Linked DNA regions of Styela clava. The protein of the gene in region 1 interacts with the protein of each later gene in a pairwise test. Links are inferred from orthologs where the notes say so. Each region holds a gene or a part of one and is shown on either strand. Other genes may lie near its edges. The genes, in order: aldehyde dehydrogenase family 16 member A1-like and deoxyribose-phosphate aldolase-like.

What was found.
Region 2: the proteins of aldehyde dehydrogenase family 16 member A1-like (region 1) and deoxyribose-phosphate aldolase-like interact in binary tests that used the Homo sapiens proteins (3 or more experiments, as listed by UniProt). The link is inferred for Styela clava from reciprocal best matches to the Homo sapiens genes ALDH16A1 and DERA.

What each region holds. Positions count from the first base shown.
Region 1 is NC_135251.1:10,975,935-10,993,219, forward strand, and holds the start of aldehyde dehydrogenase family 16 member A1-like, read right to left. Parts: upstream 9,182-17,285; 5' UTR 9,114-9,181; coding exon 9,021-9,113; intron 8,276-9,020; coding exon 8,147-8,275; intron 5,973-8,146; coding exon 5,884-5,972; intron 5,274-5,883; coding exon 5,083-5,273; intron 4,672-5,082; coding exon 4,616-4,671; intron 3,607-4,615; coding exon 3,495-3,606; intron 2,224-3,494; coding exon 2,129-2,223; intron 1,176-2,128; coding exon 1,023-1,175; intron 553-1,022; coding exon 442-552; intron 1-441. Other genes in the region: uncharacterized protein LOC120336119, read left to right, coding at 10,566-10,836, 11,100-11,270, 11,538-11,920.
Region 2 is NC_135258.1:16,504,689-16,521,980, reverse strand, and holds the start of deoxyribose-phosphate aldolase-like, read left to right. Parts: upstream 1-9,989; 5' UTR 9,990-10,111; intron 10,112-10,230; exon of another isoform or gene 10,231-10,288; intron 10,289-17,292. UniProt on the Homo sapiens protein: Catalyzes a reversible aldol reaction between acetaldehyde and D-glyceraldehyde 3-phosphate to generate 2-deoxy-D-ribose 5-phosphate. Participates in stress granule (SG) assembly.

The DNA.
Region 1 (17,285 bases):
CCATTACATAAATGACTATAATCTATGGGCGATATCTTGAAAGTAATCTAATGTGGCAATCAATGTTGAGAAAAACTCAAATTGACAATTCGCAAGATCACAAGAATATGAATCAATTTTGGTGTAAGTAGAGACAATAGCAAGTTACATTTAACACAATTAAATGAATACGACAAAACATTTTTAATTCTCATATTGGTGATGGATTGAGTATTTGACTGAACAGAAATCGTTATCTAAATTAGTCTCTTTTAATAAGTGACACAGTCAGTTGACTGTTCTAGAACCCATTGCACAAAAATTTCAGATTTCCAACTTCCAATCCTTTTTTTTTAAATTCCTTGCTGCGCCTCTGTGGCAGGCCGTAATTACGAAATTGATTTTAATCAATTATACGCGAGTCACTAAATCAAAGATTAGCATCACTAGTTCTTGGTTTACCTTATCCAGTGAATGTCCGATCCTGAAATGAGTTAAACGTTCTTTTATTCTTGATATCAATTCATCATAAATATTTTCTTGAATAAGAAGACGAGATCCTGCACTGCAAACCTGAAAAGTTAGAATTTGAATGTACATTTCGAAATTTGGTCAAATAATGTAATAAATAACAATCCTAGGGGCTCCCGAAGTATGCGAACCAAGATGGCGGACATCGGAATGTAATATGTGTACTAGGTTAGGGTTAGGCCATAATTTTAGGTATAAATACTACGGGAGGCTCTTGGCTAGTCTTTGAACTGATAATAGGACTAAAATAAGGAAAATTGGAAAAAAATTATCGCCTAACCCTAACCTGTTACCCATGTTACGTGCCGATGTCCGCCATCTTGGTTCGCATACTTCGGGAGCACCCAATCTTAAATGAGTAAACACAATAAGTATGCAATGTAAACAAAAACAATACAATAATCGGCCATCTTTCAATATTCCTAATGATCTTTCACAACATGACAAAAATTGAAAGCACAAATTGCGGCATGAAAAAGGTTCTGCATGGATCAAAAAACTGAGTGACTCACTTGTCCTTGGTTAAACCATACAGCATCCACAACACCTTCCACAGTGCTATCTAAGTCAGCAGTGTCAAACACAATCACAGGAGATTTACCACCAAGCTCTAGTGAGAGTTTTTTACCAGAACCTGCAGTGAGGCGACGTAGCGTTTGCCCGACCTGTTGAAAAGTAAAATAGGAATATATCGAGTGTTGCCAGACTGGCCTTACAATTACGAAATAGATGAATTTGCACATTCAGATTTGAGTGCATTGCACCTGAGGATTGTACAAAGGTAAAAAGCACAAACTTTTAATGTTTATTTCTCTGTTTATGACTAGTTTCAGACAAAAAAAATTATGGCAGAAGTATTTTTTTCCAGTTTTGTGTAACTCATAACTGATAACTGATTCTTTTGGCTCAAAATGTTTAAGTCTTGCACCAATCAGTATTCACGAATGCGCAACCACCATAATTCTATATTTTTTCAGCAGCACTTAACACTTCTATAGTAATCTGCAATCAGTCTCTTTACTTCTGAGTGAGTAGGCATGACCTTGCTTCGAGCAAATTTTCTTAAAAATAACACAGTCTCATTTTTTTATTTCAATAAGAATAGTTGTACTGTACAAAACCATTATAAATTTGAGTGAATGAAGTGTTCTGTGCAAAAATTCCTGACTGTGGTTTCCTTACTGTGGTACATGGTGTGAAAACGAATAAAATTTGATGGGGTACCCATTAATATGATACTGAAAGGCGTCGTTAATGAGAAGTTATATTCACGTTCAAAATTTTTCAATATGATAATTTTTCATGTCCTTTCTTTGATTTTGAAATGAGAAGTATACTTTCTATTCATATTTGGGTAATCCCAAAGTATGAGAACCAAGATGGCCGACACTGAAACGTAGTATGTGTAGCAGGTTAGGAGTCTAGGACCATAATTTTATCCCACCTTCCATCATTTTAGTTTCATTACGAGTTCGGGGACTAGCCAAGTGACTCCCGTAGTAGTATTTGTACCTGAAATTATCGCCTAACCCTAACCTGCCATCTTGGTTCACATTCTTCGAGTGTAGCCATATTTTTATAGAGAATGCAAAAGGGAAAATTCTCTATATCTGCTCACCCCTGTTGATCCAGTGAAAGCAACTTTATCAACATCATCATGAGTTGCCAACATTGATCCAAATGCACCATTACCAGTTACAACATTAAAGACACCTGGATTGATGGAAATACTCTTAAGGCCGGTATACACGACAGCATTATAACTCACCGCACCGCGACTCTTCGCACTGTGCGGTATGCGCTAATCGTGACGTCAGACCTGTCTTCCGTGCGTACCGATACCGTACCCTATGGGTCCATAATTTAATATTCAATGTTCAGTTAAAATCTGGTAAAAAAATCGAATAGGTGTAAGCTGAACGATTTGGAATAACCGTCAACGATAAGAACACACTTGACAACACAAAGTATCCCGCATATCATACCGTTACCGTACCAATGTACCGTTATCATACCGGTACTAGTGATATTACATACCGCACGGTAACCGGTAGCCCTAGTGGGACTAAACTTCTATCGTTATAAAAGCAACTGGAAAACGATAAATTAGCACAAAACTTTCGCTTGTCACATGAAATACAACCAGTTGTCTCAGAAAACCACCAGAACGAGCAGAACAAGACTGTCAGTACGGTGAACTGCGGTCAGAAAACGCTACTCAAGCGTTCGCCAACTCAGATAAACGCAGCGCAACGAAACGCAGTCCACCGCAGACGAATAACATAAAACAAACCAAAAAAATACGCTGCGGTGAGTTCGCACACTGTCGTGTATCCCGGCCTTTAAGCACATAGATCTAGAACTCAAAGTATTGCCATTTTATTTGAATTCTTTGAAATATATAAGAAAAGTTTGTAAGTTCGAAACCCATTGTTAGTATTAGGGCTGAAGAGTTGTTAGTAAGAAGAATTTTATCCAATTCTATGTTTTTATTAAAATATCCTAATCCATCTTTGGGATCCAAATTAACATACATTTCAACTCAACTGCCGTTTAGTCTTGAAATGTTGAAAATATTATCGATTCTGACCTAGCTTCTGGATGCAGAATTATCAATTATTACATGTTTAGACATTTGGGATATAATAAACCAGATGGAAAGAAAAACCAAATATTCAGCTTAATCAAATTCTGATCCATTTCTTCTGGCATTTCAATTCAAGTTAGATGTGGATTGGTTAATTTTGAAAATTATAGTTCGGAAATTAAATCAAGATGCATCGACTCGAATATGGGGAAGTACGTCCTTATGACACAGCGAGGTGTCAAACAGCCATCCCACACACAAAAATATACACCAAGGGTTTTGAACCTGCAAGTCTACATGGAATAACCAGCAATGCCACTGAAAGCATGTCCCTAACACTTATTTGCCTATTTTGACCAAATACACAGCAAAGCGATATCTGTTAGATCATTCTTACCAGGAGGTAGTCCAGCTTCATGGCAAATCTCTGCCAATAATAAAGCAGACAATCTTGTGAAAGTAGCTGGCTTCAGTACAACAGTGTTTCCCATTGCAAGTGCTGGGCAAACCTGGGAAAACAAGATAAAATAAGCATTTCATTTATGTCCATGGTTAAAAATGCAAAATCTGAATGCCAGTCAAAACTCAACATTGCTTATATTGCATTCAATAACTCTATTAAAACTTTGCCGAAACACTTAAATCACACTGAATACGCAAATTTTTTATTTTAGGCACATGACCAAGCAAGCTTCATTTCATAAATCAAAATTAAACACATTTTGTAAAATAACGGTTACGAATTTTATAATCAAAATGGAGCCAGATTTTGAATGAATCTGAGCTCAAACCATAATCATGTTACTAATAGACTCTACTTGATATTTACATGTGAATGCGGTATTTCACAATAATATCACATTTAGAAAAAACCTAAAAACTATTCAAAAAGTCAACTATTCAATACCAACTAGAATAAAATGCCCAATATGGACGTTTCAACATAAATCAGTTTATTTAGTTTGCAAGGTCGTACAAGAACGCTATTGGAATGATTATGCAAACATGAACACCATGTAAAGAAAACATTCATATAATAAATACTCCTTTACAAGAGCACAATGTTGACTTTGCATCAGTTAAACGTTGTTACCTTGATAGTATATACATTTCTGATATATAGGGTAATATACAAGATACAACATAAATTTGAAGATATAAGCTAAGCCTTTAACAAAATTATTATATATTCTGTGAATGACTTCAAATTTTAAAATTATTCTTTGAAATCTACTTCAATAGAATTCTCCAAATAAATTAAACATTTGCGGAAAATATACCGTAAATTATTTTTCTGCTTAGTACGGTAAATAGCAGTTTGTTAACAAATTTGTGCAAGTTTAATGATGGGCTTATAGGGATATTTCTCCCCTAGAAGTGGGCAAATCTCCAAAGCAGGAAACAATTATTCAATTTGAATTATCTTTGGCGAATATGCAACTAATTAAACAACAATATTAAAAAATGATTTTAAAAAACCAATATTATAATTGGATGTAAATTATAAGTCCAATTTACCTTCCATGTGAGCAACATCAGTGGAAAGTTCCAAGGAACAATCGCTCCTATAACACCTGCAAAAGAATAAAATGAAAGAATAGCAGGTTTGAAAGTGAACAAAAATGGACACTTCATTTCTATATTCCAAGTTCGAATATTCTTGTATGATTCCATGGATTACAATTCAAGTGTAATAATTTCGCAATTAGTAACTTAATCATGCAAAAATGTCTAATGCTGTTCAAATTTCTAAATTGATATGAATTTCATACCATAATCCCTCAAATCACAAGTACTTCGCCATAACACACACTCCTAATATTACCACTCCCAGCCCAAAGTATGTCATTACACTTTTTTCCATCAAAGGTGAGGTCTTTCAATGCTCGATTATGTTACCAATAACAGTGTGTACTTTTAATAATCACTTCATTGAAAACTTCCTTATTTGGTTAATTTTTTGATCATCTTTACTATTAACTTACCCACAGACTTCCACCCCCTCATTTCAGTGTCCATCAGTTGAGCCCATCCAGCATGATGATAGAAATGTCTTGCAACAAGTGGAATGTCGCAATCTCTTGTTTCTCTGATTGATTTGCCATTATCTAACGATTCCATCACCGCTATCAAACGATGGTGTTTTTGTACATTTCTTGCAATTGCATACAAGTGCCTAGAAATAGTTTAGACAGAAATTATATCTAGATTGAAAAAAATATCACTCTTATTCTCCCTATATTGGAAGTCCCATTGTAAAAATCTATAAAGAATTGTACCTATTCTATTTACACCTCATTACTGTTACAAAATGTATATCTCCCTTCAAATATTTTGCAGCATTTTTAAAATTGTTAACCTTTTTACCATATATGTATATAACATTTCTGGCTTTTAGAAGAGATTTATTGCACATTGGAGTAGGTGGTGGGCATATTGTTTGTACACAGCAGTCAAATTCGACACCCCCTTGGGCATGTGCCCTCATACTTTTAAAATAAAAAATGATTTGTCTCATTTTTAAGTATCTGGATATACCCACTCACGGTATGTACAATAGTATGGGTATCTCACTCAGCGATAATTAATCTTAATCAATATAAAAAAAATATAATATAAGCTAAATATAAATTATGATTGGCGAGAACACACATAGTGAGGGTTTTATTTATTTAAGCTTACCTCAGACGCTCAGAGTCTAACTATGTGCAACAAAAATTATGATTGAATATATTATTATACTATGGATAATATGGCCAAATTAATCCTAGATGATAAAAAAATACCTTGCTCTGACGTGAGGTTCTAGCTGACTCCATGATTTGAAAGCTTCTCTTGCACAGCCAACTGCATAGTCCACATCTTCTTGAGCACCCTGATATAAACAAACATTACATTAATAATAATACATATCAAAAAATGATTTCATGTTCGTGTGCAAAACTACAACGAGTGAGTACAAACAACAAAAAAGTATGTAAAAATGTGTTAGGAATCAAGTACAAGCATAGAGATAAAAAAAAAAAGGGTGCTCCCGAAGTATGCAAACCAAGATGGCGGCCATCGGAACGTAACATGGGCAACAGATTAGGGTTAGGCGAAAATTTTTTTCCAATTTTCCTTATTTTAGTCCTATTATCAGTTCGAAGACTAGCCAAGAGCCTCCCGTAGTATTTGTACCTAAAATTATGGCCTAACCCTAACCCAGTACACATATTACATTCCGATGTCCGCCATCTTGGTTCGCATACTTCGGGAGCCCCTAAAAAAGAGGTTATGGTCAGTCTCATGAGTCATGACTATAAGCCTTCTGGAAGCATTTCCTCTTCCCCAACATATGATATAGGAGGTCTATCAATTTTTACTTGCAAAGCTATGATTCAGATTTCACATCTATTCCCTATATTTGAATATTCAGTATTGCATTTAGCGGTTCTGCATTCTGGAGGCTCTATTTGTATGTCCATTTTATTGATTTTATTGGTTGAGGTGGCAAAGTGAAAATGAGCTCAATATTTTAGGACTTCATTTCCATATTTATGATATCTTGCGTAACATGGTCTGTTGTCTGGTTATTCTAGTTACTTGGCTCAGAAAAAAAATTCACTTGATGGTTGAGCAAGCCATAATGTACAGCTATTAAGTGAACCATCATTTAATAACTTTGAGAAATATAACATTCCTCTTGTATATGTTTATACTATGCAGGATTGAAATCTGCGAACCCTGGTTTGTTCTCAGTGATGTGCCAAACGATGATATAGAGTGATGATTAGAATCTTTGGTTGTATGCACATTACATGTGGAGAGAATGATTTGAACAAAAAATGAACCACTATTCAAATACTGCTATTAACCTGATCATCACGAACTGACGCATGCGGGACGTGCGCGAATGCTGTGTGTAAACCATGAGGTCTGGAATGTTTGTTATGGTCTTGCTTGAAAGGAAATCTTATTCCCCACACAACAATATAAGAATAAACCTTATATGAGATTTAGAAGTGATAAAATTTCGCTTACATATCACGCGTGTACTTCCCGCTGCGATATAAAAACGTCGCACAACAAGAAAATGATTCCATAAACCTTGGCGTTGCGCGCTAACCAATAACAAAAGCTAGTATGATAAGGTCTTATTTTGAAGGTCATTTTATATGCTACATAACATAGGAGAGTGGACATCTCACAACGTCAGGAAGTTATAAAAATATCGAGTCGTTTGATCGCAGCTGCCTCACCGAAAAAAAGTTAGTTCACATAGGCGTTTTATCTCGCAAATTCTCCTTGTCTCACGATTATAAGCTTTTATGAATCATAATAAATGTTTTATTATGACTCACAAAAGCTTTCAACGCGATAAAGCACAAACGAACAACCGATCGATCTATCAAGCTTAGCCTGGCCTGATTCGATGTGGTGACTTCTCAAACGGAAAATTTCCAAAACGCTTGAACGACGCGCGCTATCGAAAAGCGTTTAGTATCATATGAAAGAGAAAACCAATGTGCAGTCAACTGTATAGTCACATTTCAGCTTTACAATAGCTATAGACATCCAACAGCTGATAGAATGAGAGAGTGTAAATATTTTTGTTATTTTTTGACGTTATGAGAGACCTCTTGAAACAGGTGTTTTAGTTTACGGTCCTCCAGTGACATCTAGCGTATAGTACTCTAAAATACCTTTCCAATGGTATATAATTATTGTATATTGGGTAAATTTTGGGGGTCGTATGACATGAATAAAAATGGGTATACAAAATTGGGCTCGGTTAGGAATCTCGAACAGGTTAAGAAAACACTATCAAAGCAAAGAGCCATTTTCCCAACCCCCTGCTGTATTCTGTGTCAATCATTGTTAGTTCATTAATTATAAACAGGTAAGATGAATTATGGTTGTGCTTTTAGTGTTTCCCGATTCTAATCAGCGCCCTTGGCAGTGGTTTTTCGCATAAACACACGCTCCGTTCGGATCACCTGGTACTCAACATACCATATGTTATTTAAAAAGGAATAGCGTTTAGTAAACTTGGGCCAAAGTAAACACCTGGATAGTTGACGCAAGTTTCTCTCCGGTAGCTGGACAGCATGTATCATATACTTTTCTTGCCTCTGGTTTATACCATTCACCGTTAATAAAATGCCCAAGATCGTTATCACGCTGTTTCAACCAGGCCTGTTACAAGTAAAAAAGAAATTGTCAATAACAAAAAAAAGAGTTGAATAAAACTACTATAACTTCTGAACTTGAAGTGCTGATTTCAGGATTTGGTGTGAATTAAGGCGTGAACTCCCCTAATGTGGCGACAGTTCAGCAATCCTATTGCACATAATTATCTTGCTGATGACTGGACAACTTGTTGGCTGCTATAAATAGGTAAAAGACCCATATTGCAGTATCGTTTAAAACATTGTCGTAAAAGAATGTAAAAAGACAGAAAGACGGGCAACTCAGCAGTCCTCCCGGCAGTCTAGTTGTCTCTCAGTCTCTGACACAATTATGTTTGGCATTATTTAGTTATTTGAATACTAAGACTGTAAGAGCATTCATTTTCACACCACACAGCCACATTCTGACATTTGTGTTTCGAGTTACCGTATTTCTGAGTATGTTTCATTTTGGTGAAAAATAAACGACTGACTGACTGACTATTTCTGTAATTCAGTCTGTCAGTATTTATGATGATACCTGAAGTTCATAATTTATACTCAGCACAAGGTAACTTAACTATGCTTTGAATTGCCCGTGTTTACCAACTGAGGCAAAATTCCTACTGCTGTACTGCCCAATGAATAGTGCTTTAGTCTCAGAGTACACTACAGCACTAGCAGACTCGTGACCTATGCCTAGCCTACTGCAGGATATTCAGATATTGCAGTTAGTATACATTCATTTTAAAAATAGTTGCTTGAAAAATCACCTTAGCAACATTATCAGCCTCTGGTGCAGGTCCATATTCCATGCTATCGAATAATTCTTTTACTGAATTTCCCGCTTTCACAGACGCAGCCATTTTGCAGAGAAACTTCACGTTTTGCAAACTGGTTATTTGCTCCGCTGCAAATGATAATATTACAATCGCTAGATGACGCTAAGAAAATGGAAGTGCACCGAAAAGGATGGTTTTCTTTTCGGATTGCACAAAAACTTCGAATCCCGGCTGATTGGCGTAAATTAGAAAAAATAAGAAGAGTCGAAAGTCGATAATACGGCTTTGTCATATGTGAAGACTCTCAAGTTCAGGTCGGACATAGTGATTAAATGGGATTTTCACATTTATCCACGAAATACGGCTCAATAAAACGGAAAACCATGGCATCTCGTCCGTTTTCAGTATAGCTCATATGAGAATAATCAACCAGTTTAGCAATCCAGATGCTCGGTTCTGGAATGATATCATGGTCATCGTTTCATATGCACGTGAGATCGAGTCATTGATCAGTTGGAAATAAAGGGAAGCATATATATACCTCTATCAATTTGAATATTTATTGGTCATAAAAAAATTTTCAGCAAAACATCACATAACATTTTACTGTACCTAAAATTTGGAAAATGATTCCTACCAACACCATATATATATATACCTGTAATTAGGCAGTTAAATTGAGAAATCTAAATATAAAAACCCACAGCCAACCTGGATTTTAAATTATAAAAAGGTAATATTTATGAGCCACGGAATTAAAAAAAAGAAATAGCCTACATATGGCTTGGCAATTTGGTATTTATAAGCTAAAATCGAGCAGTCAGTCAGGGTTAGTTTTTTGCGTTGTTATAAGTTCAGAGCTGGCGGGTAATAGCTTTTTTATTATTATCATGGACAGTATGAATTAAACACGTTTTAGATCTACAAACCAAACATCATCGAGTTGTTGCAGCTTCTCCGAGTTATGAGCTATAAAAAGAGTACACATATGATATAAAAGAGTGGTTTTATCGTTAGTTTACTCAGTGAACCACCCTCGGTTGTATGAGAAATTAAACTTTGATTCCTTTTGTTTGATATCCGTCAAGTTACGGCATTCGTGTTTATAATTCGTTTCTTCAGTTCTGCAATCTTTTCTTATAGCTATTTTGGCAAGGTCGAAATTTGTTTGCTCTTTTTATAGTGTAAAGTGTTTCCGCTGTTTTAATATCAATCTGACGGATATAAGCTCAAAATTGAAATGTAGCCGTGTTTTGAATTATTTGGCAATATGCTTATAATTTAAAATATGAGAAGATTTAGGTATGCTAACCTGAGTTAAATGTTTGGTTTATTAATTATTTGTATTTAATCATCATTCTGTTCTTGGAGTTAGAATAGACTTGTGTCAAAACAATTGATAAAAAGCCAAGTTTAATGATGGCTAAGAATGTTTATTCTTAATACACACATAATTTCGTCAAGTAACACTAATACTTTGTTGTACTGAACAGAAGTTAGAAGACAATGTTTTATGGTGACAAATCGACATGTGTGATGTGGTGGTGCTGGGAAGAATACACAGAAAATATTCTTGAAACTACAAATAGATATTGGAAAGGCATAAAACTTCTTCTCAGAATGGGTATGCTGGCCCTTGCAGTGTTTTCTATTGTTTGCGACAGTTGGTTGGTGACAGAAAGTGGATCGGCAAGACAGGGATTATTTGAAGAGTGCAAAATCAAAAGTTCTTATAATAATTGCTTTGCCCAAGGAAGTTGCTCTCTTTGTTTTACAAACAGCACTGAAGAACGCTGCAAAAAACTGGGTTGGTGGTATATATATTTTTTACGTGAATTTGCTACTAACTTATAAATATCACATCGAGTGTTTATTGTATATATATCTTCCATGGAATAAACATGAAGACATTCTGAGCGTTGCAAAAAATGTGGAATGACCACTGAGTTCTTGTTTAATCCTCGCGTAACTTGACAAATATAAACTAACCCATTTAGATTCAAAAAACAATCGTTGTATATATAATCAAATAAAGTATTCTATTTATTCTATTTCAATTTTTCATGGCAGACAAAGAGATTGATGAAGTAGTTACAATATGTTTCATCGCTGTGTCGATAGTCGCAAGAGTTGCCTATTTTCTTTCAATACTGATTAATATATGTGTTAATGAAACTGAAAAACAATCTGATGAACACAAAGATTTGGAACAATTTCACAATAATGTCAATCGATTGGCTGGTGAGATACCTTATAGTCCTAACATTAGTGTTTAGCGAAATCTACATAGCCGATCATCTCAAAGACTGCACGTAGGCATATACTTGCGAATAATGTAACTAAATATTCCATTTAAAAAAATCTTCGTTTAAGTATTTCATACAAAGACGTAGAAGAAACACGTTTTTTTTCAATAGTTGGTAGCGCAGCAACCTTTCATAAACAATTGATGTTTGCGAGTGAATAATTTATCTTGATACGAAATTTGAAATGCAACTTTGTGTTTAGATACTTGTGATCTCATTGCTGTCGTTGTTTATTTCTGTTTGAATGTGCCTCCTAGTGGATTGGGGAAGTTATGTGCTTATTTCGGAATCCCATTTTACTACACTCTTGCTCGTGCTCTACCTGTTATTATAGCAATCCTTTCGTCAAACGCTCCAATTTTCAATGACTGGAAAACAATAAAGTGGTTAATTGTAACGGCAGCAGGCAAACTTCAAAAATGCAGCTGTAAAGAACAACAACAAACAGCGCCTAACGAACCCGAACAAAGATGCGCAAAGACTTGCTGTAACAAAACCGAGCGTCACTCAAATCAAAAATACTTTGTTTTGTGGAACCTGACAAATGTTTTAGTTTCGATTTACTGTTTGCTATGCAACACTTAGGTAGCTGGCGAAAACGATATAGCGAGAAAGGGTTTATTACACGAATGTCGTCTCACGGACTTGGGACCCCTTACTCCTACTGATATTGGATGTGCCGAATATAACTCAACGAAACCTCCGCAGTGCCAATTCCTCTGGAGAAAAAGTGAGTGCTAGTAAAGGCTGGGCATTTCAAATCGGATTTTAAATTATTCGAATCGGTTCAAAGCAAAATTTCGAATCACCGCCGTCTTGTTTTTTCTTTCCGCCAATGGTCGAGGTGAATTTCCCAATTTCTTTCTATCGAAGCTTTGTTTTTGTCGACGCAATTCTGACATTTGGCTGACATTTCCTGTAGTGATTAATTGATAAAAACGTGTTTTTGGACACGTAGTGGACATAACGATCGTTTCAATATTATGTTGTTGTTGTTGTTCTTGTTCTTTGACACGTTTTTAAAAAGTCGCTTTTCTCTTCGAATACTGGACCAATTGCTTTGAAATTTTCAGTGGTTAAAGATTAATTTTTTCGCTAGAAGGCTATTACTTTTATTTATTTCAAAATTTTGCGTGAATTCTATGAAATTTGATATTTCGTCTAAAATTTTGCTGTATTATTTTTTATCCATGGGAACACGGATTTTAGTCAGTGTCATGACTGGCTGTACGTTTTGATTCTGCAAAATTCTTGCTACTGGAAATTCAGAACTTTTTTGAGGGTACCGGTAGCGGCAAAGGTACCGGTAAGGACTGATTCGCTCTGGTCTGACGTGTCCATATATTTGTGCGTAGCTCTCTTGTTATTGTGTCTGAACATTCAGCAATCGATCTGAGTGATGTATTCTAGGTTTTCAGTACTTCGTGCGTTGACAGCACCGATTAAAATATAAAAAAGTAATATAATCATATAATTACATATTTCCATTGACCCCCAAGTATTCGAGATTCGATTCGAAAAAAGTATTCGATTCAATTCTGAAATAATGAGGTATTCGAAAATGCTGGTGAAAGTATCGCTTTAAATAAATATTATGATCACCTAGCCAAGACAGCGATATACAAATCATAATATATTTGAGATAAAAATAACGAAATGAGAAGGCATGAAGAAGAAGTATCGCTATCAAAATTCTGTTTTACCCAAATGTGCACGTCACGTAGTAAAACTCTTGAACTTAAGATTTTTATTTCAATTCATGATTCAACGCGCTTATATTAATTAAACACACTTGACGCCTAACATACCATTCGTTGTTTGAATTTTTTTATATTTTGCAGACTTCAATGGTGCAGAAATATTCACAATATTCGTACTAGTCGTTGCGATTTTTTGTCGATTTGCTCTGTCTTTCTATTTTTATTGTACGCGTTATGACATTGACAACATACCAAACGCACCACAAGAATCTATATTCTATCAGAGATGTTTTGAAGACGTCAATGGTGAGATTCTATTTCGTTATATTTTTATAATCTCCTTTTAAACAATACTAGAAAAAAACGCTTCAATGTTCATTCTTACATGAAACTAGAAATTTTAATTAATTAATACTCAACCTGATTGACCATTTTGTAAAGGTATTTGAACTGTTGATTGAGGCTATAATAACTAACTATAACTCTTGATGTATATATTGGCCACTAAACGAATCCTTTTATTTGACATTCAAACCGCAGTAATGAACCTAGAGTTGTTTTTTAGCGCTCCTTGGTTTAATTGCAATAATTTGGTATGTGGCAACCGAAATCCCTCTTCCTGGAAATCTTTGTTCGCACTACTCTTCGGGTTTTCATCTCTTCATTGCAACCTCCTTCATTGGATGCACATTTGCTCGTCTACTAATGATTCTCGCGTGTTTTGTTGTGTTGATCGTGCTTTTTGTCTTTTTACCATCAATTGTGTGTATTACGGCAATTCTATTTTGGTTTCGCAAAATGTATTCATCAATTACCAAAAGACGTCGCCAGGACAGCAGCACCATTTCACTGATTAACAACGACATAGACGAAGACTAAAAAAAATACAAAACCTCAGATATACCATAACTCTTTATTTTGTAAATATACCAATATATATATATATATATATATTGTATATATAATATTTTTGATTATAATTTAGAATGTTGATTTTATATATAATAATATAATAATTATATATTATTTCGAATGTCTCCTTGGATATTTATAGTGATTCAATATTCGAATTCTGGCTATGGTTAAGCAAACGACACAATGAGTAATGGACTAATTTCATCGCGATAAAGGCGCCCTCAGCGGGACATGCCTTCGATTATTCTAAATGTTCATAAACCAAAAAAAAGTCGTTCCTCTGGCTGTGATTTGGATTGTGGATCGCATGATAGTCTAAATATAACTTTTATAGATCACAATGACGCGTAGATAACAATAGCTCGTGCTTGCTAGCAATTCTAAAATAGAAAAGGCTATCGTAAGTGGTCTTAACACGAGCCCATCGCACTAAAAAATTTAAATTGCCCAAAAGATCGAATACAATGGCTGTCATTAAGGATGCTAAGTATCACTACTTACAAGTATTTGATTCTTATCCGATTCCTAAATTTTCAATTCCGATTCTCGATTCTGAATCCCGATTCCTTGATATATCTTTCCGAGAAAACATGCCCACCTAAGCAATACCATATGAAATCAAACAAGAGAGCTAAGTTCCAATATATGAACGGACAAGAATGCCAAAACTAAGTAGTATGGGTATCCAATCTGTCCCAGGAGACAAAATCGCATAAAAATAGAATCCATCAGAACCCACAGAGATTTTAGAAATGAGGAAACGTAAATATCTTCTATAGCGAAGTATATATATATACGAGTATATATATATATAGTAAAGTTTGCGGCATCGTAGAGCGTAGCAACTCAACATAGCAGTAAAGCAGTTTATACATACCGTATATCTGAAGGAATTGCCGCAAAACGTTACACATTGTTTGCAATCCAAGTGTTAACCTCGAGAATCGATTTCAATGCATCGGAGTCGATTGTGCGAAGAATCGAATCCGGACACGATTCCGCCATCACAACAGGGTGTAATAAATATTACCGAAATTTTCCCGTGATTTCAAAATAATTGCAGTTTCCTTATATATTGTTATATATCCATGGGTGCTAGCTCGGAGCGAAAAATAACAGCCGTATGTAAAATAATACCTAAATAGTTCTGAAATGAATTCAATTCCTCGTATTTGAATAAAAGATAAGTGCAAAATTTAACTTGATGCTGCTGATACCAACAATGCATAATTTCTAGACATTTGTGATCGCTGAACTTTCTAAAACGCACCAGATCAGATTTCTACGCAATTTTAAAAGCAGTTTTTACATAAACGCGATAATTTTCATAAGATAGAACTGGAGACAAAGTATAATTAATATATTAATTTGGAATATATACATAATGAAAAACCAAGATATTTCCGATTGCATAAGGATACTTATGAGAGAGAGATAAAAATAAAACAAACTGAACAAAAATCTAGAAAGGATGATGAAATTTAAATAATATAAATGAATTTAACAAAAAATGGCGGCAGTAAAAGATGATTGAAATATTTAGAAAAGTCAATGAATATTTTAAAAGCGTCCTAAATAGCGCTTCTAAATCAAAATTTAGTTAAAAAGGCCAATTTTATGACATGCAAACGACAGTTTATGAATATTGATGCGTTGAATAAAGGTAATAACGTCGTTATAATAACGCGGTAAATTTCATAGAAATGCGGACTATGCCCCATTCGTGGATGACCATTGATGACCACATGAAACGTAAATGTCAAACGAACTCAATATTCTTTAACAATTCACATTATTCAACAATACATAGGACAAAAGCAAATTTTATGTTTATACTATTTGTCATAGAATTAAAGGCAAAAAACTTTTTTAACACAACTTCGAAGGATTTTAAGAATCGACTTTTACTTCAAAGATAAATTTTGTTAACCTAATTTTCTGACTCCAACCTTCGAAATTTTATTAACCGGGTCCCGAAAATTTTGATACTTCGGACATTAACTTGAACCTTTATCTCAAAATTATGCTTCGGAAAAAGAATGCTGATAATCTGTCATAATAATATAGTGTAGAGAAACTTGTCCACTCAATTATTCGTTGCAAATACTTAGCTGTTGGAAGATGCCACAGCCGCTCAATGGTCAGGCGATACTTCTGCAATACTCTTGCATATATTTATCGTTTGAGGAATTCAAAAAAGCGAAGCGATGCGGGGTAATTAAAGGTTCGACGACACGCTTGTTGCTAAGGCTTAGTGTGAGCTGCAACTGTCGAGCTCAACACAATCGGCAGATGAATGTATCGCCTGGCTAGATAAACTAGGAAATATTGGTCTATCTATGCAGCAAATGTGGTTAGGGTTATAAATGTTCAATTCACTCCTCTAATTATAATTGGAAATATATGATAAAATTTTAATTGTAAATCATAAGATAGTCTATATGTAATTTTTTCTAGATCATAATGATTCGTAGATGACACCCTACACCGCATCGGCACCGCATTTTAATATAAAAGTTGTAAATCACAAGATAGTCTATACGTAATTTTTATAGATCATAATGATTCGTAGATGACACTCTGCACCGGCACCGCATTTTAATATAAAAGTGCTCTCTGGATAGAGATAATCTATGAACATGGATAATTGAGTTTTTGGAAACAGTTATCATCAAACGGGTACGGAAATTTTTCATGATTTAAAGACATACGTAATCATTAATTTCTATAACTAAAACTAGAGACAAGTTATATTCATATACTATATATAGCGATAAATGCTCTATTAATCTTGAAAACATATATCAACAAAAAATCAATATATTTTTGATTGCATGAAGATAGATAATGAAAATACAAATTAAAAAAAGTTAATATAGCAGTGGAGATAAGATTTAAAAACAGTTTGCAAAAATAAAAAAACGAGCAAAGCATGATTGAAAGAATTATCATTATTGAAGAATTGAGCTAGGCAATTTTGAGAAGATTACTAATAGACTCTTCGTCTCTAAGCGATTCAAGAGTCTTGCTGCAACATAGATACATTTCTGTATACGTGTGCAGCAAGACTCTTGAATCGCTTAGAATAGTTATCCTCACTCTTGCTACAGCATACTTTCATTATATGCATACAGTATCCCGACGCATAGGAGAAAGGATAAGTAGTTATTCACGCAGAAGCCCAATCATTTACCTATTGACTTGCTATTTGCGAACTTTCGTATAAAAGACGAGTTTGGATTTATATAGATTATTATAGATTATATGCAGCAGATTTAAAATTAATTTAAGGAATTTTATAACTTGTCAGCATTCGTTTATAATATTTTATAAGT
Region 2 (17,292 bases), on another chromosome or scaffold:
TGGTTTGCAATACGCTAATCATTGTTATCAGATTTCCTATTTCCAGAGGTAAATAGTATCTTGTGCTACTATAATAGAAACCAGTCGAACTTTACATATATTATTGCGATTTTGAGGAAAATTCATAACATGCACTGCGATTAAAACTTCAGCTTTCTCCTCTTATGGAATTAGTTTGAAACGAGCACGCCAAAACCTGACAAAAATAGCACGTGGTGACTCAGTATTCTAAATATCAAAATTATGTTGAAACCAATGCACCCATCGAAAATATTCATAACGGTCGGTTGTAAAATAGCAAATATGCAATTTATATATATGTGATCCTATTTTATCGATTTGATCGACAACACGGGGTTATTTACGCTGGGCGACGGTAATATTTGGGCCACATTTTGCTGTCGCACAAATAGTTTGGACTTTATTTTCTTTAGGAGCAAAAAGTGTGAAACTTTTTGTGATTCTGGTTCTTGTCGACAGTTTCTAGGCCCAGCTATCTATCTTGTAGTTGTTTTTGCTAAGTTGGGGCTACAAATATATATCATGATTTCTCTTTTTAGACTCGGTTATCTTTTGACAAGATTTTGAGGATTAACAGGAAATTTTTTTCGCTATCGTATTGTATTCCAATAATTCGCTGGAAACATATCTGAAACTTGGAGTACTGTTATGGTAAATTTCACCCTAATTGTGCAAACTTGCAGACTGGACCTATTACGTCATATATAATTTCAGGAACAAATACTACGGGACTCACTTGGCTATTCCCCGACCTTGTAATAGAACTAAGGAAAAAAAGAATACAATTATGGCCTAATCCTAACCTGGTACACATACTACGTACCGGTGTCCGCCATCTTGGTTCACATATTTCTGGAGCGCCAAACATTCATACCGGTACATTATTATATTTTCCCAAACCAAATCAACAAAATCATTTTTTTGCTGAAGATGCATTTTAGATCAAATAACGTTAGCGTGGTTTTCCTAATCGCAGATGTGGTGAATTACGATGTTAACAAGGAAACAGACAAAAAACAAAGCGCTTTGCTTCCATTTTGAGGGTTTAATAAATGAAAGACGTTAAAGCGGTTCAATAAATGATTGAAGAAATATGTGCTTCATTGTACAGTATATAAGATAATTCGGAGTCATTCAAAAACATGTGGAAGGAAAGATGGTATTTGGAGAATGAAGAATTCGGTGAGAATAAAACTAGTAAATATCGCAAGAAAAATCATATGGTTGATCTGAAAAAAGAAGTTGTTCAGCAAATATCGGAAAAAAGACATATTGGCCAAATATCCACAAACCGTTGGTATGATTGGAAAGTTATTTATCAGCCAAACCCCTCTTGTGCACTATAAAAGTTTATCTATTACCATTCATGAATATAAGTGATATAGCATTGTAAGCTGGCCTCTAAGTGAGTGTTGATTCTGAGTATGCCAACAAAACTACAATCGAAATCGGTGCGAGCCTGGTAAAATATGTTGGTGATCGACAAGGAATGTCTTTTTTTAACATCTGTATCTAATTCTCAAACTCAAAATTTATGTACCTATACATGTACCTTATGCTTTATGAGGAAGTGAATAAGCGATTGGTGTGAAACTAAAAGTAAATGAGAAATAAATTTACTCTTACATTCTCTCTTAAAGATACTCAGGTTATTTTCTAATATGTAATATCGCCCCTCTTTTCTAAGTTTCTGATAATGCATCTTTCAATTGGTTTTTAAATTCTTTAAAATTTCGGCACGAAACACGCGCACCAATTTTTGATCTACATAATGATTTTCCCTTATCTTAAAAATGAAACTGGATTCTGAAACCATGCCCATTTTGGCAAATGAATATAGGTTATTTTTATTTATTTTGTAAAAATTGTTCGAAATACCTTCATAACGTTTCTGGACTTTGAATCGCTGACAACGAAATACTAGAAAAAGTGTGGTGCGTGATATATAGCGGTCATCGTGATATTTATTCTCGATTACTGTGTACTTTTACTAGGATTTTTCCGCATTGTTGTAAACACATAATATTAATTACATTAACTGGCGTAACTATTTTTCGATTATTAAATAAGCAAATCAGTTAATGGCCTATACACTGTGGAGTGTGGACTAATTTGGACGCATCCCACTCAGATATATATATTGCCTGAAATTGAAATTCAGATTAAAAAGATCTACTTAGCTCTTGAAATTTTTCTAACGAACTGGAACTCTGGCATATTTAAAAGCTCATGTTATTCTTTTAGCGACAGCATTCCTAATTAAACAAATGGGGTACAATTTGTTGCTGAGACTTGTGGCAACGCAGGAATTAGGACACGTCTATGTACGGAAAGTCTGAATTGCTCCTGACGATGCCGAGTTATTTCGTTTTCCACCCCCGTTCCCTCTGTTCTCCCGTTTTAAATATATAATTATGCAACTTACGGTCATCAGAACACGAAATATTGCATTTATTAGGAAAAGTTTCTGGTAATGGTAAAAGTTTTCTGGAAATGGTAACTATATTTGAAAGAATATATTTTATTTCAAAGAACGGGTAATTATTCAGGTGATGGTTCGATTTAATGGTGGGAGGTACCAAAATACAACGTGTAGTTTTAACTTGCTCATATAAATACTTTCAATTGTTAATACAATAAATTATCGCAAAACAACTTAATAATTATGGCGATTTCAAGACCCTCAACATCATGAATCGATATTTTCTAGTTCTTTTGCCTAAAAGTGATGTAAAGCACGTGTAATGCACTTATTATAGACAAATACATTTGAATACAACAAAAAACGACATCGAACGCACAAAATTGAGATAATCGATGAAACCCTATAGTAACTTCGATATGCGATAATTAGTTTTCTAACCCCATTTATTTGCGAATTTAATGCTTCTCTGAAATACCAAGTGATTGGTATTGACATCATTGGTTCTCATCAAATAGATCAAAAGTGATGGCCGAAAAAAACGATACGAAAAACGATAATCCAATTTATGAAATTATGGAAATTTTGTCATGTGGTATTCAAAACTCCACTATGAACAACTTTCAAAATATCGCTATTAGATCTCTTTTCAGGTTACACTTTGACCTCAATAAAATAGTCTATTCTATTTTTGAAATTGCAATTACTTCGCAAAATATAATTTTGTAGACGATGAGATTTTAGTTCTGAACAATTCCTGAACAATACTTTTCAGTATGTATACTGTCAATTTATTATTTTTCCATGTGTGTCATCTATTACGAGTATAAAAATAATTAAATGAGTAGTCTCATATTTTCATGTGCATGGTCTAATATCGTCTGTTACACGAGAAACTCATTTGTGATTAGGCAACCGAGAGCACTTCAGTTCGAAAGCGCAGTCGGAGTCAGATGTCGTTACGCACGACGAAACTTGATACGAAAGTATATTCGGGGTTTCGGGAACAAACGAACATTTTACAGGGAACTAATCCGTGCCAAACTTGGCAAGAAGGTCTGTCACGATGTCTACAAAACCCACAAAAATGATCAGGCCAAAGGAGGAGGTTTATTTTTTGCAAAATCGGGTTTTTGGGTCTCGGATGCGAGTACCCGTCAATCTAGTCACACTCGAGTGATTTCAATGTTTACAGGTCATTGAGCTCTGTTTCCGGGCAGAGCGTTTTGCAGACTATATTTTTACAAATATATTCAACAGGTGGGCAGTGGCTTACAAGCAAAGCATTTAGGGGAAGCGTGAACGTTTTTAATGATGGACTATGATTAAATAGCCAGCTCGCGGTGTCGACCATATCCAATGATGTTCCTCATTCCCGCAAATAGGCTAAATAACGTAGTCCCACGAAATTGGGCGACGACGATTGGGCACCAACTCTATCAATATTTGTCATTTGACTCATTTATCAAGCTAAAACATGCGAAAATCACAAAAAAAAAACTCACTAAAACGTGCCAAAGTCTTTCTCTATACCTACATTTGGTGTAAGATTCAAAACTCTTCATAACTGAGAAAGTGCCTCCGCACGTGTTTTTAAAAACATTGCTTCCTAAAAGCAGTATGCCAGGAAGTCGCAATTAGTTTGGTTGTCGCACCTGTTTTCTCTCAGGTTTGCTATCGATTTTGCTTCAAACTTGGAGTATGGTATAGTTATCCATTATTGCCGAAACCGGAAAGATATGGCAGAAATTGTCATTTAAATTTGTAACGAAATTTATATAAGCCTATCCTTTGAGAATCTCAATATTAGAATGAGTAAACATTGTTTGAATATGAATTGTCATTTCTGTTGAAAGCTACAATTTTAGGCATTTACCACGAATGACTAACTTTTAATTCATTTGTAATTGATACCTACATTTTAAGTAATTTACGTCAATGCGGTGAACTGCCCAGTAGTTCATTATTTCTTCACCATACTTAAAATACGCTAAACAATCTTGTAGCTTTGGCAACGTAGGCCCGGATATGAGATAGCAAAATATGTGAGTGTTATCGGAAGAAGTAAACGACTAGTTTGAAGAGAAAGGTGTGAGAAAAGTGAGGGCACACGATGCACCTACCGTTGAATGGTTACGTCCTTTATTATCGGCTTATAAAATGTAGAAATACTGTCTATATTAGTATTTATATATATATATATATACAAATATAACTTTCTCATTCCTTACGCAATTGGATAAAGTACAGAAATAATATTCATATATATGAGAAACTTGGTAAAAACATACTACATAGAATGTGGATTCATCGAAAACTGCCTCGATGTAATACACTCTGATGTGTTGCTCATATTCGAAAACAATCTACCGGTACATCATCAAAAAGGTAGGAAATACATATTTAAATCAACCCAAACTACTTTTTTATACAAATAAAAAACAGAGTTAGTTTATTGTTTACCTTTTCATGCCCACAGTGTTGCATCTACAAATCATGCTCAGATATGTCGACAGCAGGACATCTCGATGAAAGGAAGAAGTTTGCTTTCACTAGCAGACTATACTAGAGAAGATCGTCTTCATTTATTGAGCAGTGCTGCTGACCTAAAGTTAAGGATGAAGCAACTGAACAAAAGGTATTACAAATCTTTCCCAATGTCTTCCTTTGTCGTGGAAGATTGAGAAGGGTAGGAATAGGGTAGGGTTTCTGTGTTTATCCTGGGAATCGAAAAGATGATAAGACAGCTCAGTCATATATATATGATGAACTCTTTGAATGAAGCTTTTTTGAATCCCTCTCGATCATACTCTAGGTCGATTTCATTGTAGCATATAGTTCTAGAATCTAGATGATGAAGGAAGCAATAACCGACTAGCTGTTACGTGATCCAGGAAAACTTTCATAAGTACACTTAAGCATCGACATCGCCTTTATAAATGTTATAAATAGCGGGGCCACAATTTATGCATTATGGTTTTTATAAATCTATTCAATTTGGTATACGCCCATGTATGCAAAAGTATATTAGCGCAAAATAGCAATTAATGTTTGTGAAGCTAGTTATTCATTGCAAAGAAATATGACAGGTACGCGGATTGGGAAAGCTTTGAATTATGTACAAACTAAAATACTCTCAGAATCTAACGGTAATAGGCTCGGGCTCCGGGCATTGTCGTTGTTATGACAGATGCTAGACATCAGGATAGCATTGATGAACCACTTCAAAAATTATGGGACTTGAACATAACCGTGAGTTAGTTTTCTCTTCATTTTCTATTCTTCAAAAATGATTGGCTTTCGAAAAAATGGTTAATAATTTTAACTTTCGATCTATGTTTCTTATACGTATGCTGTTTGGTTGAAAAAGAAATTGGAATGAATTTGTTAGGAGGACATTCTTGCGTCATACCATATGAAGACGTTCGGAGCAACGCTAATGGAGGGTCGGTAATTAATTAGAAGCAAGCTTTCGGATCTTCCGGGAACTCGTTTATGAATATTGATAAATCAATGAATTTAGACAATCGTTAATGTATCTGCTAACACTCTCGCTATAGTTCATATATATACGATGGAAATGAGCAGTGAAAAAAAATACTTTACTCTGTCGATATATATATATATATATATATATATATATATATGTTGATACAATCTATAATTATATGTATAGGCACTAAATTTGGCTGTAAATGCGCTGGCAACCAATTCAATCAATCCAAGAAAATTTGTAGGTGATAATTATTTACATATATTTATATATATATATAAATTATGAACTAAGAAAATGGGCGCTATTTAAAAATTCAATGTGTCGTCGTAGTCAGTTTATTCACAAGTCTGATATATATATAAAAGAGGCACTGTACAAGCACGTATTGAACTGTTCGCTATGGGCACTACAAAAATATTTTTTCGTAGCAATTCACATAGCTACTTGAAATATATATGTGAGAATCTGTAGATTCTACATGACGCACATTTGCGCTTTATTTTAAATTCTGTGCCGGCATCCCGTCAGCTTAATCATGTACATTTATTACAATTCATGACGAATGTAATAATGGTATTTACACGGATATATATTGAAAGAGTTCTTTCTCTCCACCTGACATTTTCTCCATATAAGTATTTATAACATGTTATTTTCGCTTTCGGAATACTTTAAAACTCATCGCTTTATTCCTAAGTTGGCTCTCAAATTGTTTTGTGTGGGAGTCGTTATTCTAATTCACCAAGAGACGAAAGAAAAAATTTGCGTCCTAAAAGTTTCCAGAATGCTTACCATACGCTAATACATTGGAGTTATTACATTGAATTAGATTTCTCAAAGTCATCAGATAAAGTGCAGGTTGAAGTATTCAGGTTACTTATTTACATTGAGCATTTAACTTAATAATTGCCATATTGAGAGAGTTTACTATAATATTGGCGCCTTGTCGTCCTAGTCTCTTGCGATGTTACCGTACAAAACATAGCTTTTGGTCTTCACCTTAAATCTAATGCTGCTATATCTGCACAAAGGTTATTCCCACTGTATCTATGGCTGGCTACTAACACGTGACACAAGTAAAATGATAAAAAAGGGTAAAAAATAAATGAATGAATAAATAAATATGAAATAACAAACTGCAGTTTCACGTGGTAAATGCACGTTCAACACATGACCCTAAACAAACATAAATTCCTATTTGAATTGCTTATAGGCTCAGTTGTGTAAAGTATAAATCAGTAAAATCTAAAACAAAATTGAAATTTGAATAATACTATTATTAAAGGCACCCATTTTCATTATATACAATGAACTTTGATAAATAATCAACTGAACTTAAAAAAAATCGGTTATGCGTTGAGTCTACAACACCTGTTGTCAAAATCAGAATTTGCATACAGAATGAAATTGAATCTGGCAAAAACATAATGATAAACGAGGTGTTGTTGACAAAGGCACAACTGAATCATCAAATATTTCAGAAGAAACAAAGATTTCTCTCTACAACGTCTCTCTCTGTGCTGTCATTGTCACAGGATCGTCACCAATCGGATGTAGTAACATAATATACATAGTCGACTTTGTCTGTAAGATCAAGAGAGAAAAGTGAGGTGTGAGTGTGGAAAGTTACTTTAAGCTGTGTTATTGAAAAAAAGTAATAAACAATACACTGTTTGTAATAAACAATACACTATCCTGATAAAATTATATTGTAAATGAAAACAACCCACCTGTATGACTGATAACAAGCTTATAGTTAGACTTTTCATTTTCGTCAAAATTGTAAAAAAAATCTGAATACACAATCTTGCACTTATTACTTCTGACAAGAGTATAACAAAATTTAAAAGCTTCCTATAATCGCTGTCAGCCAGTCAATTGAGTAAAAAAATCCAATGTTCCATTGCAATTCATTGATAAAATTCCTAATTGTATGTATTGAATTCTTGGAAATAAACACGTCAAGAATGTTTTCACAAAAAGCCGTTAAAGAATCATATCGCTCCGTATTTTCGAATTTGAGATTAAAGTAGAAAAACATTGTACATATGCAACAATGCTCCACTGCAAAATAAAAAAGAAGGCAAACCATGTAGTAGATCTAACTATAAATACTTGATAAATAATATATTCACGAAATTCAAAATCAATAAAATATGTAATATGTTTTATATGACAGGTTTCAATTTTGTACAATGAAACATAATTGATTTGCGCTAAAAATTAAATTACATGAAACGGGTGTTGCTAACGAGATATTTATAGTAGTACCAAGAATGATAAAAATACTTCTTAAAATATTGTTGGTCGCAATTGCGCGTATGAGAACGGAACCTATATACTGATATCGAACCGCATTATGAATGTGAGATATTACCAAATTACAAATGTTTACTGAAGTCAATAAATATACATATATAGACTAGAGTATAGCAGGCTTGCTGGGATGGGACAGCACACATTTGTATTTCCCATGAGACACGTGGTACACGAAAACCGTATGATTTTTCTCGGGGAAATGATGGTAAAACATTTCGTTATTGATTTTGTGTCCATATATTTGAGCATAGGCCTCTTGTTGGTTATAAAGAGCAAAAAATATCCAGCATCAACAATATACTTCGTAAAAGGGCTGATGGACACATGTATAATAGTTATGAATATAAAGTTAACAAATAGCGCATGATTGCCAGTAGGTATATTCATGTCAAAGATAAATAACGCACAACCGGTGTATAGCAAAACGATATAATTTGCCGACGTTTCGAATTTCTATTCAGAAAACTTCATCAGGGCATGATATAAAGAGTACACTGTCGTACATATATAGAGTAGAAAAATAAAAAAAGATAGTAAAAATTAAACGGCGTGAAAAACTGAAAAAAGGGGACAATATGATAATAGATCCTAGTGAATAAGCGCAAGTTCAAACAATTACGCGACTATCTAAACAATGATTTATATACATGCGGGAACAATGTAGTTTCTTTATCGTTCATTGAATTTTTCTCTTCGTTGATATGATAAGATTCGAGAAATAGTCTTTTTCTGTAGTGAATTTCATGTTCCAATATCCTGCTGTTATCCCAATCAATGCTGTGATCAGTAGAAAGGGCATGTTTCGGAAGGGCCGATTTTTCAAATTTCGCAGCAATCCTCTCGCACATAACCATCCCTACATGGGATTCGAACCTGCGAACCCACAGAGTAATTAGAGGTGCGGTGGCGGGAGAATTCCTAACGCTTAGCCCGTTGAGCCACACCGCCGAGCCTGTTTGAATGTTTGAATTTATTTGTGTATTTGGAATGGTTTTGTTGGTTGAAATAAATGAAAAGATATACTGAGGCATTAGGATAAAGTAGGGGGTCGTGGCATCGGCCAGTCATCTTTGCGTCGGTACAATAGGTTATCAAAGTGGAGTAGGAGCAGAGTAATTCTGTGTTCTGTGATTGCATTTATTGGATAGTAATTGAATATTTATACCAGGATTATAACACAAAAGTAGAAATCCAGTTTTCCCAGGTAGGGAGGGACGATTTGAATCCCCAGAACTCCGCCTCTTCGGCTCCGTATGTCAATTTTTGTATTTCGAATTTATTCTCTCGCGATTACACTTGTGTTTTCTCGCAAAGTGCCTGCAAACGCGTTTGCGGCAGACATCAAATATCGTTATCTCAGCTTGTATATTCAGAACGCGAAGACGGCGTTATCGCGCCATTTTATTATTGGTGCCGACTGCCTGCCCTCTTTCAGGCGTTTTTCCGATTGCAACAATCTCAATTTATTGAAATAGTGAAACATTCTTGATGTTAAATTAAATGACTTTCTAGTTCTTCCGGAAAATGATGAGTACCCGACGTTAGATGATAAAACATCATTTGCGATTAATTTAGGTCAAATTTTGCTTTCCACTACACCCGGTTTTCGAAATACGAAGTTATAACGCAAAACAGTGCGTTTTGTTACATTTATTTTGCGCTCCCAATAAAATACATATACCTTGAATTTCGTGCCGCTGATAAATCCGTTCCTATCGCCCAAGCGCGGCACACGCCTGGTCGAATGTCGGGCGGTATTTCAGTCGACGATAAATTAAAAAAGCCAGATAGCTGCGTTGAGAGAATACCATGACGCATCACTCAAGCGTAACGAGAGATATGTCTAACTTACGGTACACAATATATCTTTATTTATATTTCATTTATTTATTATTTACATATTGAATAATCCACATTGTGGATCCATTTAAAAAAAAAAAAAAAAAAAAAGTCGAAAAAAGCGTGAGCCAACTATATTAAGTTAACTATGGTCAATGCGACGACTACCATCGGCTTGTGCAACTGTAAAGACCACTGTGAAGCTAGTAGCACGCCTTCTTCTAATTTTACGCAGTAATGCGTTAAATCTCTCTTTTGTACTTGTCGGAGATCGGTGGTGCGTAATGCGGGCGAGTCTTCATTTCCACACGGATAAATGACTTTGGTTTATAAATAAATAAGTAATTCAACACTATAATAAGTAAATTTAAGTGTATTTCACAGTAAATTAAGAATATGAATTAATCGTCTGAGTGTAGTAGGGACTTTCGCTATTTTAAGCCAACTAAATACTATTAATGTACACATATTGCTAGGTCTGAAATTTTGCATTTTATGAGGTAATAATAAGACATCCTCGTATCTTAAATTCGTGCGAAAAAATCAACCAAATGACATTTGTTATTCTCTGTGTTTTCAATAACGTGTGCAGGGGCGTAACCGAAATTTTTCAAGGGGCCTGAAATTTCATTTGTTAGATGGAAATAGCTAGTAGGGGTTCGCGACTCAAGGGATACTTGGATGATAGTCGAGTTTTTGTATGATGCTGTTTTTTAATATCCTTTATTACTATCATGGGAAAATGCGTGCCCATTGAAACTAAACGCCAATTGAAACGTAGATTTTCCCTGAGCTTGCGTTGTCGTGATTTTGACGCAACAATGTGAAAATTCAAGGCTTTGTGTACAAACTGTGAAATCTCTAAAGACAGCGTGCTGCGAGCAATGGAGAAGTGATTATGCTTATTGTAATCTGGGAGATATTTTAATAATTCATTAGTTAAGCATGCGACAAGGGCAACAATATCAACAAGACGATTTGATTTAGTTACATATGGTCATTAAATTGGTGTTGCAACAAATTGCTAGTCAGTGTATCACAACTTTCTTCGGTGTCTGATTACCGGGGGTTCGCGTTGATTGTTTCGTGACTTGGGAGGTACTTGTCAGAAAAAAGGTGTGAGAACCCCTGAGCTAGCTGATCCGACCGAAAGCCGGAACAGGAGTGTTTTCAAGAGTCTTGGATGTTTAAAAACAGTTTCAAGCTACGAAAAATTGCTATGCAGCTACAGAAAGATGCATTTTTACCTTCCAAAACAGGAGAGGGCGGGGGGCACGCATTTGGGTAATTTGAAAAAAACAAACATTTCGCTTCTATGTGTATTCTGTTCCTGAAAATGCCCTATTTCACCGAAATCGACACAGGCGAAAAAAACGTAAAATTTCACAACTTTCAGGCTGCAGTAGGATATCTATCCGATTAAAAGGAGAGAGATATTAATTTTGATAATTATTTTAGTATATAGACTCTTCATACCACAAGTTGAGTTGTTGGAAACAAAATTTTGCAATTATGTACATTCCGGTACTCATAATTCCTCAATTCGTCGAAATCTTCATAGGCAAAACAACGTAAATTTTCACATTTTTCAAATTACAACAGCAAGTCTTTCCGATAAAGAGGGGCGAGATTTTATTATTGAAAAATATAATAAGATATACACTCTTCATCCCACAAGTTGAGTTTTGGAAACAAAATCTTGTAATCATGTGCATTCCGTTACTGAAAATGCCCTATTCCGTCGAAATTTGCATAGGCGAAATAACGTAAAATTTCACATTTTTCAAATTACAACAGCATGTCTTTCCGATTAAGAGAACGAGATTTTATTATTGAAAAATATAATAAGATATACACTCTTCATCCCACAAGTTGAGTTGTTGGGAACAAAATTTTGAAATCATGTGTATTCCGTTACTGAAAATGCCCTATTTCGTCGAAATTTGCATAGGCGAAATAACGTAAAATTTCACGTTTTTAAAATTACAACAGCAAGTCTTTCCGATTAAGAGGGGCGAGATTTTATTATTGATAATTATTTTAGTATATATACTCTTCATCCCACAAGTTGAGTTGTTGGGAACAAAATTTTGTAATCATGTGCATTCCGTTACTTAAAATGCCCTATACCGTCGAAATTTGCATATGGGCGAAATAACGTAAAATTTCACATTTTTCAAATTACAACAGCAAGTCTTTCCGATTAAGAGGGGCGAGATTTTATTATTGAAAAATATAATAAGGTATACACTCTTTATCTCACAAGTTGAGTTGTTGGGAACAAAATCTTGTAATCATGTGCATTCCGTTACTGAAAATGCCCTATTCCGTCGAAATTTGCATAGGCGAAATAACGTAAGATTTCACATTTTTCAAAGTACAACAGCAAGTCTTTCCGATTAAGAGGGGCGAGATTTTATTATTGAAAAATATAATAAGGTATACACTCTTTATCTCACAAGTTGAGTTGTTGGGAACAAAATCTTGTAATCATGTGCATTCCGTTACTGAAAATGCCCTATTCCGTCGAAATTTGCATAGGCGAAATAACGTAAAATTTCACATTTTTCAAATTACAACAGCAAGTCTTTCCGATTAAGAGGGGCGAGATTTTATTATTGAAAAATATAATAAGATATACACTCTTCATCCCACAAGTTGAGTTGTTGGGAACAAAATTTTGAAATCATGTGTATTCCGTTACTGAAAATGCCCTATTTCGTCGAAATTTGCATAGGCGAAATAACGTAAAATTTCACATTTTTAAAATTACAACAGCAAGTCTTTCCGATTAAGAGGGGCGAGATTTTATTATTGATAATTATTTTAGTATATATACTCTTCATCCCACAAGTTGAGTTGTTGGGAACAAAATTTTGTAATCATGTGCATTCCGTTACTGAAAATGCCCTATTCCGTCGAAATTTGCACAGGCGAAATAACGTAAAATTTCACATTTTTCAAATTACAACAGCATGTCTTTCCGATTAAGAGGGGCGAGATTTTATTATTGAAAAATATAATAAGGTATAAACTCTTTATCTCACAAGTTGAGTTGTTGGGAACAAAATTTTGCAATTATGTGCATTCCGTTACTGAAAATGCCCTATTCCGTCGAAATTTGCATAGGCGAAATAACGTAAAATTTCACATTTTTCAAAGTACAACAGCAAGTCTTTCCGATTAAGAGGGGCGAGATTTTATTATTGAAAAATATATTAAGATATACACTCTTCATCCCACAAGTTGAGTTGTTGAGAACAAAATCTTGTAATCATGTGCATTCCGTTACTGAAAATGCCCTATTCCGTCGAAATTTGCATAGGCGAAATAACGTAAAATTTCACATTTTTCAAATTACAACAGCATGTCTTTCCGATTAAGAGGGGCGAGATTTTATTATTGAAAAATATAATAAGATATACACTCTTTATCTCACAAGTTGAGTTGTTGGGAACAAAATTTTGCAATTATGTGCATTCCGTTACTGAAAATGCCCTATTCCGTCGAAATTTGTATAGGCGAAATAACGTAAAATTTCACATTTTTCAAATTACAACAGCATGTCTTTCCGATTAAGAGGGGCGAGATTTTATTATTGATAATTATTTTAGTATATATACTCTTCATCCCACAAGTTGAGTTGTTGGGAACAAAATTTTGTAATCATGTGCATTCCGTTACTGAAAATGCCCTATTCCGTCGAAATTTGCATAGGCGAAATAACGTAAAATTTCACATTTTTCAAATTACAACAGCATGTCTTTCCGATTAAGAGGGGCGAGATTTTATTATTGATAATTATTTTAGTATATATACTCTTCATCCCACAAGTTGAGTTGTTGGGAACAAAATTTTGTAATCATGTGCATTCCGTTACTGAAAATGCCCTATACCGTCGAAATTTGCATAGGCGAAATAACGTAAAATTTCACATTTTTCAAATTACAACAGCAAGTCTTTCCGATTAAGAGGGGCGAGATTTTATTATTGATAATTATTTTAGTATATATACTCTTCATCCCACAAGTTGAGTTGTTGGGAACAAAATTTTGTAATCATGTGCATTCCGTTACTTAAAATGCCCTATACCGTCGAAATTTGCATATGGGCGAAATAACGTAAAATTTCACATTTTTCAAATTACAACAGCAAGTCTTTCCGATTAAGAGGGGCGAGATTTTATTATTGAAAAATATAATAAGGTATACACTCTTTATCTCACAAGTTGAGTTGTTGGGAACAAAATCTTGTAATCATGTGCATTCCGTTACTGAAAATGCCCTATTCCGTCGAAATTTGCATAGGCGAAATAACGTAAGATTTCACATTTTTCAAAGTACAACAGCAAGTCTTTCCGATTAAGAGGGGCGAGATTTTATTATTGAAAAATATAATAAGGTATACACTCTTTATCTCACAAGTTGAGTTGTTGGGAACAAAATCTTGTAATCATGTGCATTCCGTTACTGAAAATGCCCTATTCCGTCGAAATTTGCATAGGCGAAATAACGTAAAATTTCACATTTTTCAAATTACAACAGCAAGTCTTTCCGATTAAGAGGGGCGAGATTTTATTATTGAAAAATATAATAAGATATACACTCTTCATCCCACAAGTTGAGTTGTTGGGAACAAAATTTTGAAATCATGTGTATTCCGTTACTGAAAATGCCCTATTTCGTCGAAATTTGCATAGGCGAAATAACGTAAAATTTCACATTTTTAAAATTACAACAGCAAGTCTTTCCGATTAAGAGGGGCGAGATTTTATTATTGATAATTATTTTAGTATATATACTCTTCATCCCACAAGTTGAGTTGTTGGGAACAAAATTTTGTAATCATGTGCATTCCGTTACTGAAAATGCCCTATTCCGTCGAAATTTGCACAGGCGAAATAACGTAAAATTTCACATTTTTCAAATTACAACAGCATGTCTTTCCGATTAAGAGGGGCGAGATTTTATTATTGAAAAATATAATAAGGTATAAACTCTTTATCTCACAAGTTGAGTTGTTGGGAACAAAATTTTGCAATTATGTGCATTCCGTTACTGAAAATGCCCTATTCCGTCGAAATTTGCATAGGCGAAATAACGTAAAATTTCACATTTTTCAAAGTACAACAGCAAGTCTTTCCGATTAAGAGGGGCGAGATTTTATTATTGAAAAATATATTAAGATATACACTCTTCATCCCACAAGTTGAGTTGTTGAGAACAAAATCTTGTAATCATGTGCATTCCGTTACTGAAAATGCCCTATTCCGTCGAAATTTGCATAGGCGAAATAACGTAAAATTTCACATTTTTCAAAGTACAACAGCAAGTCTTTCCGATTAAGAGGGGCGAGATTTTATTATTGAAAAATATAATAAGGTATAAACTCTTTATCTCACAAGTTGAGTTGTTGGGAACAAAATTTTGCAATTATGTGCATTCCGTTACTGAAAATGCCCTATTCCGTCGAAATTTGCATAGGCGAAATAACGTAAAATTTCACATTTTTCAAAGTACAACAGCAAGTCTTTCCGATTAAGAGGGGCGAGATTTTATTATTGAAAAATATATTAAGATATACACTCTTCATCCCACAAGTTGAGTTGTTGAGAACAAAATCTTGTAATCATGTGCATTCCGTTACTGAAAATGCCCTATTCCGTCGAAATTTGCATAGGCGAAATAACGTAAAATTTCACATTTTTCAAATTACAACAGCATGTCTTTCCGATTAAGAGGGGCGAGATTTTATTATTGAAAAATATAATAAGATATACACTCTTTATCTCACAAGTTGAGTTGTTGGGAACAAAATTTTGCAATTATGTGCATTCCGTTACTGAAAATGCCCTATTCCGTCGAAATTTGTATAGGCGAAATATCGTAAAATTTCACATTTTTCAAATTACAACAGCATGTCTTTCCGATTAAGAGGGGCGAGATTTTATTATTGATAATTATTTTAGTATATATACTCTTCATCCCACAAGTTGAGTTGTTGGGAACAAAATTTTGTAATCATGTGCATTCCGTTACTGAAAATGCCCTATTCCGTCGAAATTTGCATAGGCGAAATAACGTAAAATTTCACATTTTTCAAATTACAACAGCATGTCTTTCCGATTAAGAGGGGCGAGATTTTATTATTGATAATTATTTTAGTATATATACTCTTCATCCCACAAGTTGAGTTGTTGGGAACAAAATTTTGTAATCATGTGCATTCCGTTACTGAAAATGCCCTATACCGTCGAAATTTGCATAGGCGAAATAACGTAAAATTTCACATTTTTCAAATTACAACAGCAAGTCTTTCCGATTAAGAGGGGCGAGATTTTATTATTGATAATTATTTTAGTATATATACTCTTCATCCCACAAGTTGAGTTGTTGGGAACAAAATTTTGTAATCATGTGCATTCCGTTACTGAAAATGCCCTATTCCGTCGAAATTTGCATAGGCGAAATAACGTAAAATTTCACATTTTTCAAATTACAACAGCATGTCTTTCCGATTAAGAGGGGCGAGATTTTATTATTGAAAAATATAATAAGATATACACTCTTTATCTCACAAGTTGAGTTGTTGGGAACAAAATTTTGCAATTATGTGCATTCCGTTACTGAAAATGCCCTATTCCGTCGAAATTTGTATAGGCGAAATAACGTAAAATTTCACATTTTTCAAATTACAACAGCATGTCTTTCCGATTAAGAGGGGCGAGATTTTATTATTGATAATTATTTTAGTATATATACACTTCATCCCACAAGTTGAGTTGTTGGGAACAAAATTTTGCAATCATGTGCATTCCGTTACTGAAAATGCCCTATTCCGTCGAAATTTGCATAGGCGAAATAACGTAAAATTTCATATTTTTCAAATTACAACAGCATGTCTTTCCGATTAAGAGGGGCGTGATTTTATTATTGATAATTATTTTAGTATATATACTCTTCATCCCACAAGTTGAGTTGTTGGGAACAAAATTTTGTAATCATGTGCATTCCGTTACTGAAAATGCCCTATTCCGTCGAAATTTGCATAGGCGAAATAACGTAAAATTTCACATTTTTCAAATTACAACAGCATGTCTTTCCGATTAAGAGGGGCGAGATTTTATTATTGATAATTATTTTAGTATATATACTCTTCATCCCACAAGTTGAGTTGTTGGGAACAAAATTTTGTA